Linked DNA regions of Alligator mississippiensis. The protein of the gene in region 1 interacts with the protein of each later gene in a pairwise test. Links are inferred from orthologs where the notes say so. Each region holds a gene or a part of one and is shown on either strand. Other genes may lie near its edges.

Region 1 (7,944 bases):
TCCAAGAAGGCCATAGTCTGCTTGGTAAAAGCAACCACAGTGTAGCTAAGATTGACCCAGCAGTCATCACCTGTGTACTGGTCAAAACTGCCCACACCACAACTTCTCATTTCCTCTCTAAGTTTTCCCAGAGCCTCGGGAGTCATCAGGTTCATCTTTCTCCACATCTCTTCAGAGTTGCGATGCTTGGTGGCCTCAATGATGATATCCTTGTAGCTCTGCAGAGCACCTTTGATGTCTTTCACCAGCAGGGTGTGAATGATGAAGGTAAGGTCCAGTCCAATCTCACTAAGCTGCTTACAGTGCTCCTTAGCTACCTACAATAACAAACATCATTATTAATACTTATCTATATGCCACATAGACACAAGCTACTTAACCACCCCAACACCCATAAAAATAGGTAATTCTTAGTCCTAATTTGCATACCTGAAAAATAAGGCAGTGATTACGAGTCTGGAAAAGAATACACACTGCACTTTATTCTGCCTCTCTTTAACTTATGTATCTAACTTTTTTAAATGACAGAAATACAGATCCTGTCTATCATAAATGTCTGTAGTGTTTTACAGAAATGATTGAGAGTAGATTCAGGCTAGACATCAGGAGGCATTACTTCACAGTCATGGCGGCTAGGATCTGGAACCAACTTCCAAGGGAAGTGGTGCTCGCTCCCAACTTGGGGGTCTTCAAAAGGAGGCTAGATAAATCGCCTACCCGGGTTCATTTGATCCCATCATTCTTTCCTGCTCGTGGCAGGGAGTCAGACTTGATGATCTGCTCAGGTCCCTTCCGACCCTATCAACTATGAAACATAATTATGATAAAGATGTCACAGTTTAGCAACTGGGAAATAAAGGAGTTCAGTATTTTTCTTGAAAGCCTATGTTAAGGCATATTCAAATCCAATCCAATAAATATTTTGTAGAAAAGGATTCTTTGCTAAAGTTCCAATACTCCCACTCTTTTAAGTAAGGCCAAAACCAGCATTTCTGATAATAGTGGGGCAAAACACAAACAGAAGAAAGGCAATGCAAAGCCCTCCACACCCTCCCTTTACTAAAGAAGGGAAGCTATAGGTGAATCTGTTTTACCACCTCCTGCCCAAAAACAGTAAGTTAGCTGAGAGAGAACGAGACATCCAGGGCTGCAGAATTCCAGGTTTCTGCTCAATCGACTGGACTGTGCTGCCTTTCTTATACGTGCTTACCTTCACACATTCAGCAGCAGTTGACAAGCTCTCTTTGCTGTCAAACACCTGCTTGCTGAAGGCATCTACAAACATCTTCATGGCAGAGCGTGCCCACACAACGAAGGCGGAGTAGCAGCCGCTGTTACCAGCAAAGTCTGTCTCAAACTCCCTGGCAGTCTCCAGCAGGCTGGTGAAAAACACGTGGCAGAGCTTGTGGATGTACAGCAGAGTGGCACCTTCAATGCGCAGCTGACGGATGGCCGTGTGCACAGCAGCCGCCCGGTTCTTCAAGAACAGCTCGCAAGCCTTGGTTGATTGACCCAAGCGAATGAGCTGAGAGACAGCCCGGCGGGTAGCCCTTGGCCCACCACGCAGTGAGCGATCTGGAGAGAGCTCAAACACCAGCACATCCGTGAGCTGCCTAACTCTCTCATCCACTTTCGCCCGGAGCTCCCTCACCGGCTGGCTGATGGGCTTGTCTGCCAAATACTCGTTTAGCTTATCCAGCAGGTCAACTGCACCCTCAAAATCCCTCTGGGCGATGCAGACATCCAGGTCCTCAGGAAGCTCCTGGATCCACTCCAGGGACAGATCCACTTTTTCCTCCTCAGGTGGAGGCTCCACTTCATCCTCATCCTTCTCGAAGGGGTTGGATGACTCTGGAGAGGGCAGGGCTGCTCGCGGCAGAGCCTCCTGCTCCAGCCGCAGCTTCTCGCTCAGGGCGCGGCTCCGCTTGGTCTCCTCCAGCACCTCCAGCCACTCCTTCTTGATCTTGGCGTTCTCAGCCTGGAAGATGCGGCCCTCAGGGAACATGAGCAGCTTGAACATGTCCTTCATGGGCGGGTTGTCCTTGACGTTGACAACAGCCAGCCCGTCCAGCGGGTAGAGGGCGTCGTAGCGGTAGGCACCACGCCGGTTGGGCAACCAGGTGGCCACCAGCAGGCAGTCATTCATGAGGAAGGCGTGCACTCGCTGCACCTGCGCCATGTGGTCAGCGTCATACTCCACCAGGTCCCCGTTGTACACCAGGTACTTGCCGGGGCTCTCGGGCAGCAGATCCCGGCAGCCCTCCACCTTCTCCAGCAGCGTGGTAAGCGTGCGCTGCCGGCCCTCCTCGCTGGCCGCCACCTCCTTGGCCGACAGGGGCAGGAAGGGGTTGTTGACGCGAGAGTCGGTGGCGGCACGGCGGGCACCCAGCGCGGGGTCGTCGCGGTCGGCCTGCAGCAGCAGGGCCTGGGTGACAGCCTCCATGATGCCCTTCTGCTCGGTGAGGATGTGGCTGAGCTGGTACATCTCGCTCTCCAGGTAGCTGATCTCGCGCGCTGTCTCGATGAACTGCCGGTAGTTCTGGTAGACGTTGCGCTTCAGGCTCTGCGCCGTCTCCTCGCTCAGCGCCTGGATGCGCTGCCGGTGCTCCTGCAGGTCCCGGTCGCCGTCCGACTGCTGAGACAGCTGCTTCACGTACTCACCCGCCGCGAAGCTCCCCAACTCCAGCTGCCGCCGCAGCCGGCTGCTCCCGGGCCCGCTGCTGCTGCTGCTGCTGCTGCCGCCGCCCCCCGCCGCCAGCCCGCCCTCGCCCAGCGCCAGCGCCATGGCCTCACCCGCCGCCCGCCACGGGCCGCCAGACGCTACCACCGCGCATGCGTCCCGCCGCGACGATAGTCGCGCTCTTTTGACGTTAGGCGCATGCGCACTAAGGAGCGACTACCCGGCACAGGCGATTTGACAGAGCACGCGCAGATAGAATGGCGTTTCTTCCCCTGCGACGCGGAGGAATGGGAGGCTGCGCAGTGCGCATGTGCCACAGCGGCGTGCTTCCAACGATACAGTGAGTGGGGTGATGCGCATGTGCTGAAGGCGGAGGGGGGCGGGTAGGGAGGGATGCGCATGCGCCAACGGCAGGGGTGGGTGGAAGGTTGTGTAGACTGCATTGCGCATGCACTAACGGCGGGGTTGGAGCTGGGAGGGGCTACGTGCCGGATTGCGCATGCGCAGTTGCGCACAGCAAGCGCCTCAACGGTCGTGAGAGCCGGGCGCATGGAACGGCTGCCGCGGTATCATGGACGCGGACTTCCTGATGGCGCTGCACCTGCAGGCGCAGTGGGAGGCGGGGGAAGAAGAGAAGGAGGTAGCGGCCGGCGCCCGCCCCGAGCCGCCCGCGCGGCCCCTCTCCGTAGTGGACGAGTCCTGGGAGCTGCTGGACCCGAGTCCGGACGTGCACGGCCTCTTCGTGCAGTTCAACCAGGAGCTGTTCTGGGGGCGGCTGGCGGCCGTGGAGGTGTCGTGGAGCTCGCGGATGACGCTGTACGCGGGGGAGGGAGGGCTTGCACCCCGATATGTGCGCGCGCACTCTCTCTGCCCCGGGGGCCCTTTCCTGCCTTGCCAGCAAGGCTTCCTGCTGCAACCTGAAGCTCCCACTTCACGGCCCCCGCAGGCAGGCTGTTTGTAACCAATTTTAGCCACGTGTCATTTGTTTAATGCTAGCTCAAAATGTTCGTTGGAGTGCGTCCATGCATCCCTCAGGTGGGGTGAGGTAATCGTGGATGGTCCTGTTTTGACCTCCTGAGCTCAGGTGATAGTGAACTTGGGTGTGGGAATCAATCCCATGATAGATGCTGAAGCTGGCTTGATTTTGTGTTATGGATCTGAAGGAGACAGACAGTTAATTCTCGAGGACGGGGCTAAAGAAATGCCGCCTCCTGGTTTTTTTTTGCCTCATTCGTTCCGTTGGGGGCGGGGTATACAAAACATGGGATATAGCAAATGGATGCACGTTCCAGTGAAGCTGTACTGGTTTTTCCCTTCTGGTTAAGTGGAACAGCACAGCCCCAGGCCCCAAGCCTGTTGGGAAAGCTTCTAGTTTCTTTTTACCCAGAGAATTATGCACCTCAGTGTCTGCACCCCCCTTCTCCAAATCCTATTTTTGCCCATGCTCCCAGCCCTGATGCCTGGCCTCTTCCCTGCTGGCTTTCTCAGCTTTGGGACTCCTGTCTATTGGCAGTAATAGCAGCAGCCCCAGGCTTTGTTGGGAACCTGGCTCCTTTGTCCTCACTGCTGTGTCTGAGTGCTGGCTCCTCAGGGGTGAGTTGGAGCAGCCACCTGGCTCTGCTTTGGTCCCCTTAAAGACCTAGAGTAGTTTTTGGGGTTTTGGGTTTTTTTGACATTATGTTTTCCACATCCGCACAAGGTAAAACTTGGTCCAAGTACAAAATCTTTCCCAAACTGCATGTCAGGCTTGAGATTTTGGTACTTGCACTGTCTTTGTAGCAGGGCCATAGCTGTCTGCTCTGTTTTTATGAGGTGCATTTATTTTTTAAATGCAGCAGCAGAAAGTTGTAGATTTCGGCGAAGGGCAACACTCAGCAGATCTGCACTGCAAAGAACAGGTTTGGGCTTCTGTTTCCTGTTCTGTGCAAGGCCTGAGTTGTTTTTTAAATGAAAGTGCTGGTTTGTAGACAGAACAGGTCACCTTTGAATGCACAAATGGTATGTCTCAAGTTCTTAACTCTGAATCAAGTGTTATCAAATGGAAGCAAGTAAATTGTGGGTCATGGATTGTTGTTTTTTGTTTGTTTGTTGGGGGGGGTTGATAGTGCTTACCAAGATGACCTTTTCTAGTCTGTACTGTAAAAGGATTTAATACTTGAAAGGACTTGATTCTTAGTTTAGCAAGGTTGAATAGTTATCTGAAGGAGAGCTCTTTTTCAAGTACAGCTTACTTCAGCTATGTTAAGAGGGATCAGTATTTGTAAATCTACTTCTCAACTCTGCTCTGCCAGCTATGAAAGTAAATGGGAATTGTACGTTCTGTTTGTATTTCTCTTTCAGCTGTGCTGGCGTGTGCAGCTACGAAGGAAGGGGTGGAATATGTTCCATCCGCCTAAGTGAACCGTTGTTAAAGCTAAGACCAAGGAAGGACCTTGTAGAGGTATTTTAAGACTGACTGCTTATTATCTCTGTTAAAGGATAGCTGATAGTTTGCAAGGGAGGCTTTATTCACAGTGCTTTGTAGATTGTGAAGTAGCTTTTGGTTTTCTAAGAACCTTGTGTTTGGTGTTTTATTGTTAGTTGTTTAAACATGTAAATTGTTAATCTGTCAGTCACAACTTTTATTTAAACTGATGCTTTTCTGACTCCCTTAACTTTCAAAAAAATCCCCCAAATTAGCTTTCTGGCTCTTGAAATGCTCCTTCCAACTGTTTAAAAGTTTACTCTGCCATTTAGAGTGCAAAATAAAGTAGTTCAGTTTTACTTCTAGGTCAAACAGCCCAGTTACCCAAAAGCAAAGATGCGGGGTTTGACTATAAATGTAAGCTTCATGCTGTTCTTTGCCTCTCTGCTAAGAATTTATGAGAGTTAATTGCCATTCAAGCTGTGAGTGTAAACTACTGTTCTGCACCTGCTATGAGTCAAAGCCCAGGACAGTTGGATCTGGGGTACACCTGACCTCTTTTTACCCTGGTTTTCCAGGTTCCCCTTTGAACTATTTGGATGTAAACAGATGTTGCCTTTTGTTAGCCTATTTAAGTACTTGTGAAGTATGTAAGATATGGAACAGAAGATCCTAATGTAGTCTCTGTCCCACTTCAAGTACTTGTGAAGTATAGGATACAAGATAGGCAAACACTTTTTTCTAGGGCAATGCTGTGGTAACTAAGTTGAAAGTAATTCATGTGAGTTAGTTGCCAGTTGTTCCAGGGACAAGCCTGTCAGGCTGTTTGTTCTGGTGACTGAGCAGCAATGTAGTGTGGAAGGTCTGTACTTTCTCTCTTACCCTGGGATTTGACTTGGGTCAATCAGGACTGCCTCAAATGAAACATCTGTTTTCCAAGCAGCTTTAAACAGGTTTAAGAGGGTTTATGCCTATCTGCTTCAGATTTAAACTGCATTATTTAAATAGGTTTAAGTATTACATGTGTCATACCCTTTGGTGTCTGCCTGCTCAGTGCACTGGCTATGCGGAATTCCATTCTGAGGCACCTAACTCCTTATTCCTTATATGGGGAGCTTAAGGGACCAACTTGGGTTTATGACACTTAGAAAATAGGCATAGATGTAGACTAGTGATAAGAAGTTTTGCAAAATGTTTGTATCTACTACTTGCAACTACTCCACTCCTTCCTAGTGAAGTATTTAAAAAAAAAAAAAACCCATGGGAAGGTAGGCAAAGTTTGGATATCGTTTCTCACAGTACGGTTCCTTAGAATGCCCTTTGGGTCATACGGAGAGAAACTTTGTGGGTTTGGCAGTTTAGAGAAGTATTGTAGTATGTTCCTGACCCCATACTTAAGTTGTAGATTCATAGAAATAGGATTCATTACCAAAATAAGTATAAAAAAATAATGGGAAAACCAACCTATAAGCTATATTTTAAATAATATACTTTTTTTTTCAAGAAACATCAGCAGTTGCTTTTTTATTTCAGACTCTATTACATGAGATGATTCACGCTCTACTGTTCGTTACTAACGATGACCGAGACCGTGACTCTCACGGGCCAGAGTTCCGTAAGCACATGCGTCGCATCAATCGCTTGACTGGAGCCAATGTTACAGTAAGTGCTTTACAGTTAACAAAATGCTATCTAGCAGATTTAAACTCTGTCTGTCTATCTGGCAGTTCAAGCATTATGTATTTACATATTCCTGAATTACCATGACTGATATATAGGCATTTCTGTAGCCAAACTGTAACCTTGGGTGGATGTGTATTCATTGCATCGTAAGGGAAATGTAGGTTGAGGTTGGTGGGGCTTTGCACTTGCCTGAACTCTGTTGTGTATTTGGCTGGGAACATGCAATTCTTCAGTTAGAATGGCTCCAGAGATTATTTTCATTTTTAGGTTTGAAGTGGCCTTATGAACTCTGAAGAAAAAGCCCTTCAGTTTTGAAAAAGAAAGGCTGGTTTGCTTTGTTTTAAGAAGTTGTTTGAGAGATTATTGGATAAATGATCTTTATGTAGTATTAACGAGAATTTTTAAATCTAAAGATGCTGACTTTTGAGGAAAGACTTTGTTTCATGTTAAAAATGGCTTCCATGCGTGCTGCATGCTGTTAGCAGCTGAACTCTGTGCCTTGCTTCAACCCTGTCGTGCATGATCATTTTCCTTATGCCCATCACCAAGGAATTGAGAGATGATATTAACACTATGCATGTAGAGATGGTGACATACATATAGCGGATGATTCTTATAAAATGGGAATAAACATTGTGACTTGACTTCCTGTTTTACATTTAGATCCATCACAACTTCCATGATGAGGTGGATTTATATCGCCAACATTGGTGGCGATGCAATGGCCCATGTCAAAATAAAAAGCCTTATTTTGGGTATGTGAAACGTTCAATGAATAGGGCACCCTCTGCAAGAGACTTCTGGTGGGTAGAGCACCAAGAATCCTGTGGAGGCACATTCACAAAAGTGAAAGAGCCAGAGAACTATTCTAAAAAAGGCAAGGAAAAAACCCAGCCAGGAAAACTTTCAAGCTCCAAACCATCTGACGATAAAGGTACTTAACTTACTTTGCTTTCCTTCTTCAAAACTATTCCTACTTGGTATAGTATCCAGGTGAACATAAATAGATGAATAAGTAGATAGTGCTATGCTAGCATTAAAAAGCTGGTACAGTTGTGCAGAGTGATCCTTGCTTTAGCTCTGACAGGGACCAGATAAAGAAAATTTAGATTTCTGGCTCTGCCTATGATGTTCTTATTTGGTGGTATTACAGATAACAAATCAGCTTTCAGATGTG
Region 2 (7,880 bases), on another chromosome or scaffold:
CACATATCATATCAAGCAGACTGAAAGACCCCCGGTCATCCTTTCCAAATCACAACAGCTGAAGCAGAGCATGAGAGGCTAGTAATACCAGAACAAAATCCATGCAAAGGGACACGACAATGCAGTAAGTTTCTTGAAGGAGACACCAAAGTTAGTTTGCTTCTAGACCTTGCAGGGGGCCAAGGAAATGATTTCTAGTCTGTTCCAGAGCAATCCCTGCGCTCTTGGAAGACCAAATGTTTCAAGGAGTTGAAACAGATACAGAGCCTCTCAGTTTCCCTTTTTTCAAGACACTTTCACCAAGACTCCAAGTCATTACCAATGATGGCTGCCAGGCAGTCTAAGTGAAAGGGGCAGACGCTTCCTCAACCTGACAAAGGGCTTTTGTGCCTAAAAGCTTGCTAAGAAGAATTTTTCCAACTATTTGAGTGGGCTAATAAAAGATATTGGATTTACCCAAAGAACTTTGTCTGCCTAGGGGCTTGTGGTCTCACTCCAGCCTGTAGCTGAGGAACATTTACATCATGTGAAGCACAATGACAGCATGCGCCAATGGGAACCTTGGTTGGTACAGCAAAAAGACAAATGGGTTGGGAGAACCAGCTTATTCTTCCTTAAAGTACACAAGTTTTACTATTTGAAGAACAATTGCAGTGCTGTAGGAGAGATAACGGCACTGAACATACCAACTATTCTGCCAGGAAAGGCTCAAGCATTGTAAAAGTGCTCAGCATTTAAGTCACTTTATAAAACCTCATCACGAAAGGTTTGTGCACGTGGAGAGGAGGGAGATGATGGACTGTGCTTAGTACTAAGACTCGACAGCCCTTTTTTTTTTTTTTTTTTTTTTACAGTATTCATTATGCTGGTCAGCAGTGCCCCTCTGCATACACAGCCAGGTTCAATACCACTGCAATTTTATCACCGTTGGCTGACTCATTCTTCATTTTGAACATCAGAGAATTTTAGTACAATAAATGTATTTCACCACAACAGCATTTGTGTTCATTTTACAAACATTACCAATGCATTTTTATTTGACAAATAATTGCCCCTCCACAGCTAACCGTGACAAGAGCAGTGTGTATTTTAGTCAATGGTTTGAAATAGTCCTTTAAGCACAATGCACATTTAACATCAAAATTTGTATTGTAACGTGTGTGTGTGTGTGTGTGTGTGTGTGTGTTGAATAAGAATTAATTATTTTGATGCAATGCAGAAATAAAAGTTAAGTTTTGCATAATCTAGTGGCATTCTTCCTATTAGCTGACTGGTTAGGAGCAACTGCTTGACATACAGATGAATAACTATTCTGGAAAATTATACATCACAATGCTAATGCAAACTAGCATCTGACTTTCTGGATAATGACAACTTAACTAGCTCACAGCCTGCAGTCCCTTCCCTTGTCCCTCTCTACCTCCCACCCTTCTGGGCTTTTCCTTGGTAGACTGCATTCCTGACAACCTGTTTCAGATCGATTTCCTTCTCTACTATGATGAACATACACAAATCACAATACAAATACCCTTCAGCTTTCCTCATTCCAGGGGTTCCGCAAAAGCCTCACTTCCCACACACAAACTCCAACTCAAAGCTGTGACACCGCATTGCACCCACTATAGGGTTTAAAACAGTAGACTTCACAATTCATTTCTAAGGAATGAAAAATGGGATGTAACAAAGCATGTTCAAAATTGGTCATCCAACCAAACAGGTTACACTGAATGAATCTTAGCACTATTTCATATTACCAGGCATCTCTAAGGCTCAAAGAAATCATAGATATGCCAAGTCTATCACAGCTAGAAGGCATTTTGATTCTATGTAAGACATGTTAGAGCTTAAAACAGTTTGTTAAATACACTCCTAGTGCCCTGTCCATAGCTCTTTGCTTGCCTCAGATCCAACAGGGAGGTAATGTTTTAGTTCTGTGGCACCTTTTGTGCTGGAAAGTCCCTTCAAAATGTTCCCTATCCCCAAGGAAATGTGATCACTGTGCAGGAGATGATAGTGCCTATGGCTCTGGGGAGAAGGCCAAAAGCCTGCTGAATGCAGCGGTGCCAGGCACCGGGTCAGTCTGAGGCACTTAACCGGATTCGCATTCTCAACCTCTATGTCTCCCCTTCCTAGAATGAGACTCTAGTTTCAAGGGTTGTAAAGAAAAGCCTTCCAGCCTGGAGGCAGGCATGAGCCCAGGCGGCACTGAGGCAGCGTTATCATCCACCTGTCCTTGAAGACCGCCTGGACCTGCTAGCTTGGAAGGCATCCTCCCTTCGCTGCAGTGTCCCAGTATTGCTGCCACATCGCTCCCTCGCTCTTCCATCAGAGCAAGGGGCACAGGCACTGAGACCCTCAACCCCTCCCGCTTGCAGAGGGAGAGACCAGGACGCAGAGCGCCAACGCCACCTGCCCAGGCAGAAGCAGGGCACTGGTCTCCTAGCATGAAGGTCACTGCTGCAGCCTGAGAGCTGGCCCTTCATGAACCTACGTGGCATGAAGGAGCACGGGCACAGGATGACTGCGTGAACAAGGAGCCAGGGCAGCCGTACATGGGCCTGACGTATGCCCACAAGTGCCCACAGGCATGCGCGCCACCACACACCCAGGCGTGTGCACACATGAACCCACGCATGCTCGCACACATGTGCATGTTCTCACGCACCCACGCATACCCACAAACATGCTCGTGCACACACGCACCCACGGGTGCTCAGACATGCGCGTGTGCGCACGCGGGGGCACACGCGCACACGTGTGCACACCTGCTCATCCTGCCACGGGGTCTTACACCGGCGGCAGCAACAGGCAGCGGCCGGGCCAGGGCGCCCCCCGCAGCGCAGGGGGCCCAGCCGCCCGGGGGAACGCAGCGCCGCACCTCCTCTCGCAGCGCCTCACCTGCCACGGGCGGGACACGCCCCCTCCCCCGCTGCTCGCCCCAGGACCCGGCGGGGAAGCTACCCCCTCCGGCGTTCATTCACTTCCGCCCCAATGAAGCATCACTTCCGCCCCTACTTGGCATCACTTCCGTTTGCGCCTAGGTCCCGCTTCGTTCTAGAACGGTTCCCTCCTCTACAGGCAGGCAGCGTCCCGCAGTGCGCAGGCGTGATTTGGAACGCGGCGGCTTGGCGGTTGCTGGGCTATTCTGCCAGGGGAGGGGGCAGCTTGCTAGTGGGAGCATGGGGCAGGCTGGGGCTCTTTGCCCTGGGCAGCTGCATCGCCCCCCCTCCCCCCCCCCCCCCAGCAGTGTTGCCAGCATTCACGAGCTGGCCCCTGCAGGGAGCAAGGGTCTTATGGGTTTTGTGGCAATATTTACTGTACTGAGCCCATGCAGCAAGTGCTATGGCTGCTCCTAGTGCTAACACCTTGAAGGGCCTGAGAGGACCACACTGTGCTCCAGAGCCGCGCGTCCCACCTGCTGCCTTCCTCCACAACTTGGGAATGCTGCTGATGCGTGCCTCGAGGTGCACCGTGGCCATACCAACTGCTGGCAAAAGTTCTGCCAAACTGCCTGTGCACCTCTGCACGCTCATGGCACACAGTGCAGCTCTGCTTTGCACCGTGACCTCTGGAATAGCTGGTACCCAGTCCAGGAGTATCTATCTACATGGTGGCAGCGGAAGCCTCGCTCTGTGCTGCAGAGAGGCTGTGCCACCGCAGACTGGCTTTGAGCCAGAACTCGGGAGTTTTGCTGGCAGAGCTCTTGTTGTGGAGAAGAGTCACCTGCCCATGCTTCCCTATCGTAACACCCTTCTGCTTAGCTGTAACGAAAGGGAAGGAGGTCACGGTCCCCTTGGCCTGGTTGCAACCCTCAGGCTGACAGCTTCTACCTTGACAGGACGTCCCTTATAACTAGGGTAGCCATACATCCCAGTTTGGCTGGGACAGTGCTGTATTTTGTAGGTCCTCTTGGCATCCCAGCCGGTTGGTGAAATTGAAACGAAAGTCCTGGAATCGGCCACCTAACATGATTGCTTCTTTCTCTGCTGACTCTACTGAGCATGAGTATACAGCAGCAGAGCCAGCCTTAGGGAAAAGGGTGCCCTGGGTGAACTTGTACTTTGGAACCCCTTTCCTCCCTCCTCCACCCAGGTCAGCAGCGCTGCTGCAGGCTTGGGCATGCGGTGCAGTCCAGAAGGAAGGTAGGCAGGCATTGTTGCTACTGTGCAGGAGCAAGGTGTGCAGACTGCCTCAGGTACCACCCGGCCCACACGTTCCCTGCTTGGCTCCTGAGCAGCATCTGGAGGTGCAGGGGGTCAGCTAGAGGTAGGGGAGCAGGCCAGGCTGGGCACTGCTCCAGTTTGCCCATCTTGCTCCAGCACAGCAGCAACCTGCCTGGCACACCATGCCACTCTTTCACTTGGTTTTCTTTAAAATAATATGGTCATCATGCCTATAGCCATCCTTTGTGTTTACATTGCCAACCTTGCTTCTGGATGCCTTTCTGCTTCTCTCTGTCTCAGCTTTGGGGAAAGATGAGAAAGAAGGAATATCTGGCTTGTGCCTTTGCCTCATCTCCCACCAATGGACCTGGGTGATATTATACTGCCTTTTAAAAGTGATGAACATTTGTTCAAATATTTTAATGAGTTTTCATTGGTTATGCTTGCTCCCTTTTCACATAGACACAGAAAGGAAACCTATCTGAGCAAACAGTGTTTGCTGGCACAAACATTCTTGAAAACTGAATCTCAAAGCGGTATGTGCAAATATTAATCATAATGAAGTTTGAGGGTCCATGTGCAAGTCATCCTGCCAGAGGTGTCTGCATGCACATCTAGGATCAGAAACAATTCCATGCGTCTTATCTAACTGGTTACAACTTAATCAGTGCTATTTGAATAGCAAAGATTAAGTACTACCAAGAATGGTTGATGCATAGATTTAAAGCCAATGCACAGAAAGCAACACCCCCCCCCCCACACACACGGATTACTCAAATAATTTCAAATTGTGAATATATTTAAGGAAATCATGATCTGCTCATGCATATTCACAGGGAAAAGGCTAAATTCATTACATAAATTACTTACTGCACATTTTTCACACTGTTCCACTCATTTGCGGTAGGAACCATTGTCATGAACATTTGTTGCAGGCTAAGGCAGAGAGCATTATTAAATATGATGAAATTGCAAAGCAAATTAGCAGCCAGCAGCCTAACATTTCATGAGCCCACGAGAGGTTAAGTGCAGTGCTGGTGCCTGTGAAGTCTTAATGAGGGGACCAGGCCACTGACCTGTGTAGAGCTTAAAGGGTACTGAAAGGACAAGGAGATAGGGCACAGGGTGAGACTGGGTGAAAATCTCGGAGACGAAGAAGTTATGAGAAATGTAAAAGTCTGCCAGAAACTATGCAGAGAAGGAAAGCAATAAGACCTAGCAGAATCTGAGCAAGGAGCATGTGTGTGGGTGTCAAGACCTGTCAGAAACAGAATAGGGGAGCGGATGTAGAAGCAGCAATCCAATCTATTCTGATCCATTTTTATTTATATACTGCTGATGGAAAGCCCTTCAAGTGCTTTACAATTACTCAGATAAAAATTCAATTCAATACACTCTGGAAATTCAAAGCAAAGAGAGAGGAGGTGGGTGCTGGGTTGGGGCAGCCCCACAGAGAATGAGAGAAGAAAGGTAGTAACAGACCTGCTGCAGGCAGATGGCAGAGAAAGAATTAACAGAATTGGGCTGATAAAATGAAGACTGAGAACCCCAGTATGCCCGGGGGGGGGGGGGGGGGGGGGGGGCAAGAGAGCAGTAAGACTGGGGTCTACTAAGAACTGGTAGCAGGATTGGCATAATCCCAGTAAAACACTGGTGGCAGGTAGGAAGTAATAATATATTTATCTCCACTACTGATTATGTATCAAAAACCTACCCCCTGGAGACAAGGCTCAGGGAACTGGAAGATATGTTTGGACTGGGCCATTAAAAAAATCTTGAGGCAAATGAGAAAAGCAGCTGTTTTACCAGCATTTAATTCAGCTAAAAAAGCAAGCTGACAGGGCTCACATCTGTCTTACTTCATCTCTCTACCCACACAATTTGTCAGCAGATAGAGTGGCATCACTCTCAGCCAGTGAAACAATGGATAAAAATCCATATCTCTCCAGAACAATTTTCTTTGACTGTTTAATGCTCCTGAGGACAGGACCCAGTTACATAAACTGGTACAGAGAGCTGATTAATCCAGCTACAGGCTTCATTCTTCCTGCCAGTACTCCGCATTGGCAAATTTGAGTAAACAAAATAAAAATTGGATAGTATATTGTTCTTTTCCCTGATTAAGGGCATAGTACTGCCCATTGTTTCATAAAATAGGTAAGATATAGAGAGCTCCCTCTCCCTGTGCAATCAACAGGGCCTACTTTTTCTAGAGTGCAAGGAGGTAGGTCTAGCTAATTTGCCAAACCATGCATCACATCCCTGAAAGGGCATTGTCTGTAGGCTAGAGAGTATGTCTGGGCTGGCGTTCAGTCAGCTACTGCACAAGATGACACCCACAGGACACAAGAAGAGCAGGCCTACTATTTGTAATTTGGGGAGCTGTAAATAGCACCTAACACAGTGCATTGTGACATGCTTTTTCAGCCATCTCACTGCTAGTGGCAGAGTGCCCTTAACCTGTTTAACAAAACCAGATGTTTGGCCTGATTCTCCAAGTTGGCTGTCCTTATGCTTTGCCTGCTGTGGCTTGTCAGAAACAGAAGCCTAACTGGGCGCAAGTGGCTGATCTGGAGAAGCTAAAGGGGCACTTAGATTTCCCCATGCTTTTTCAGTACTTTCAAAGCTCTCGCTATATAATTATCTACAGGTCTTAGTCTGTCTGCTGGAGTCTCCATTACAGTAATATTTAAACACTTTCACAGAGTCCAGAGTACTTACAATAGACTGGGCTTTTTCCCCCTGTAAGCTTGACTCACTACTGATATCTATACAGAAATCCATCATTCATTTATACTTCTATCATAGACATAAACTCATGTTTAAAAAACAACACTTGCAATTCATTTGGACAATTTTTCATTTTTGTGAAACTGTACCCTTAATCTAGGAAGTTTTTTCCTAGGTAAAAAATATCAAATAGCTGAGCACCTTGTTTAATTTGTTCTTTCTGGTGCTGCAATGTCCCTTAGCAAACACAGCCACATTCAGCAAGTAATACATACTTCTGTTTTCTCAGCTGAAAAATATGAATAATATTGATCAACCTTTGAGTTCTGACCATGAAGAATCTCCATCTTTGGAAATTTTCAAGCGTAGATTGCACCAACACTTGGCTGGGATGGTTTAGTTAGGGACAATTTTCCTTGAGCAGGGTACTGGACTAAATTCCCTTTCAGTCCTACTTTCTTGTATCCTATGAGATCTTCAGCCTGAAAAGTGCCAAGTGCTATTGTTATACGTTGCACCAAGTTTTAATAAGAGAACTCCAGCAACTGAAAAGAAGGTGTGGAAAAGGAAGGTAAGCAGAACTTTGGGTGTGTGCAGGTACATGTATTTTTTGGAGGTGACTCAAGTTTCTCCTGATCTGTTGAATACCACTTGCCAAATTGTAACAAGCTGATTCTCACCTTTGCACAGGGTCAGGCCAAAGCCAGAAAACAGATCAGCTTTAACTGCAGAATTCCCTGCAATTTGAAATTTCTTCAGATCTGAGGTTTGGAACTGAACTAGCCTGATAGTCAGGGATGTTTGGACCTCAGGCTTTGATTCAGGCCCAACACTAATTTTCCCCATACGGTAACAGACATAAGAATGGCTTACAATAAATGGGGAGCTCTTCCTAGTTCTGTTCCCTAATCAGTTTTGGATAGGTAGCATTTCCCTTTAATGCATAGTATTTCTCAGTACATGCTTCCATAATAGTGGGATCACACA

The links. The genes of interacting proteins can lie anywhere in the genome.
Region 2: the proteins of EXOC8 (region 1) and WASHC1 interact in binary tests that used the Homo sapiens proteins (3 or more experiments, as listed by UniProt). The link is inferred for Alligator mississippiensis from reciprocal best matches to the Homo sapiens genes EXOC8 and WASHC1.

Annotation. Positions count from the first base shown.
Region 1 is NC_081824.1:149,731,569-149,739,512, forward strand, and holds the start of EXOC8 (exocyst complex component 8), read right to left. Parts: upstream 3,001-7,944; 5' UTR 2,786-3,000; coding exon 1,211-2,785; intron 318-1,210; coding exon 1-317. Other genes in the region: DNA-dependent metalloprotease SPRTN, read left to right, coding at 3,252-3,496, 5,021-5,120, 6,618-6,746, 7,431-7,701. UniProt on the Homo sapiens protein: Component of the exocyst complex involved in the docking of exocytic vesicles with fusion sites on the plasma membrane.
Region 2 is NC_081827.1:115,294,829-115,302,708, forward strand, and holds the start of WASHC1 (WASH complex subunit 1), read right to left. Parts: upstream 3,005-7,880; 5' UTR 2,978-3,004; coding exon 2,899-2,977; intron 2,880-2,898; exon of another isoform or gene 2,766-2,879; intron 1-2,765. UniProt on the Homo sapiens protein: Acts as a component of the WASH core complex that functions as a nucleation-promoting factor (NPF) at the surface of endosomes, where it recruits and activates the Arp2/3 complex to induce actin polymerization, playing a key role in the fission of tubules that serve as transport intermediates during endosome sorting.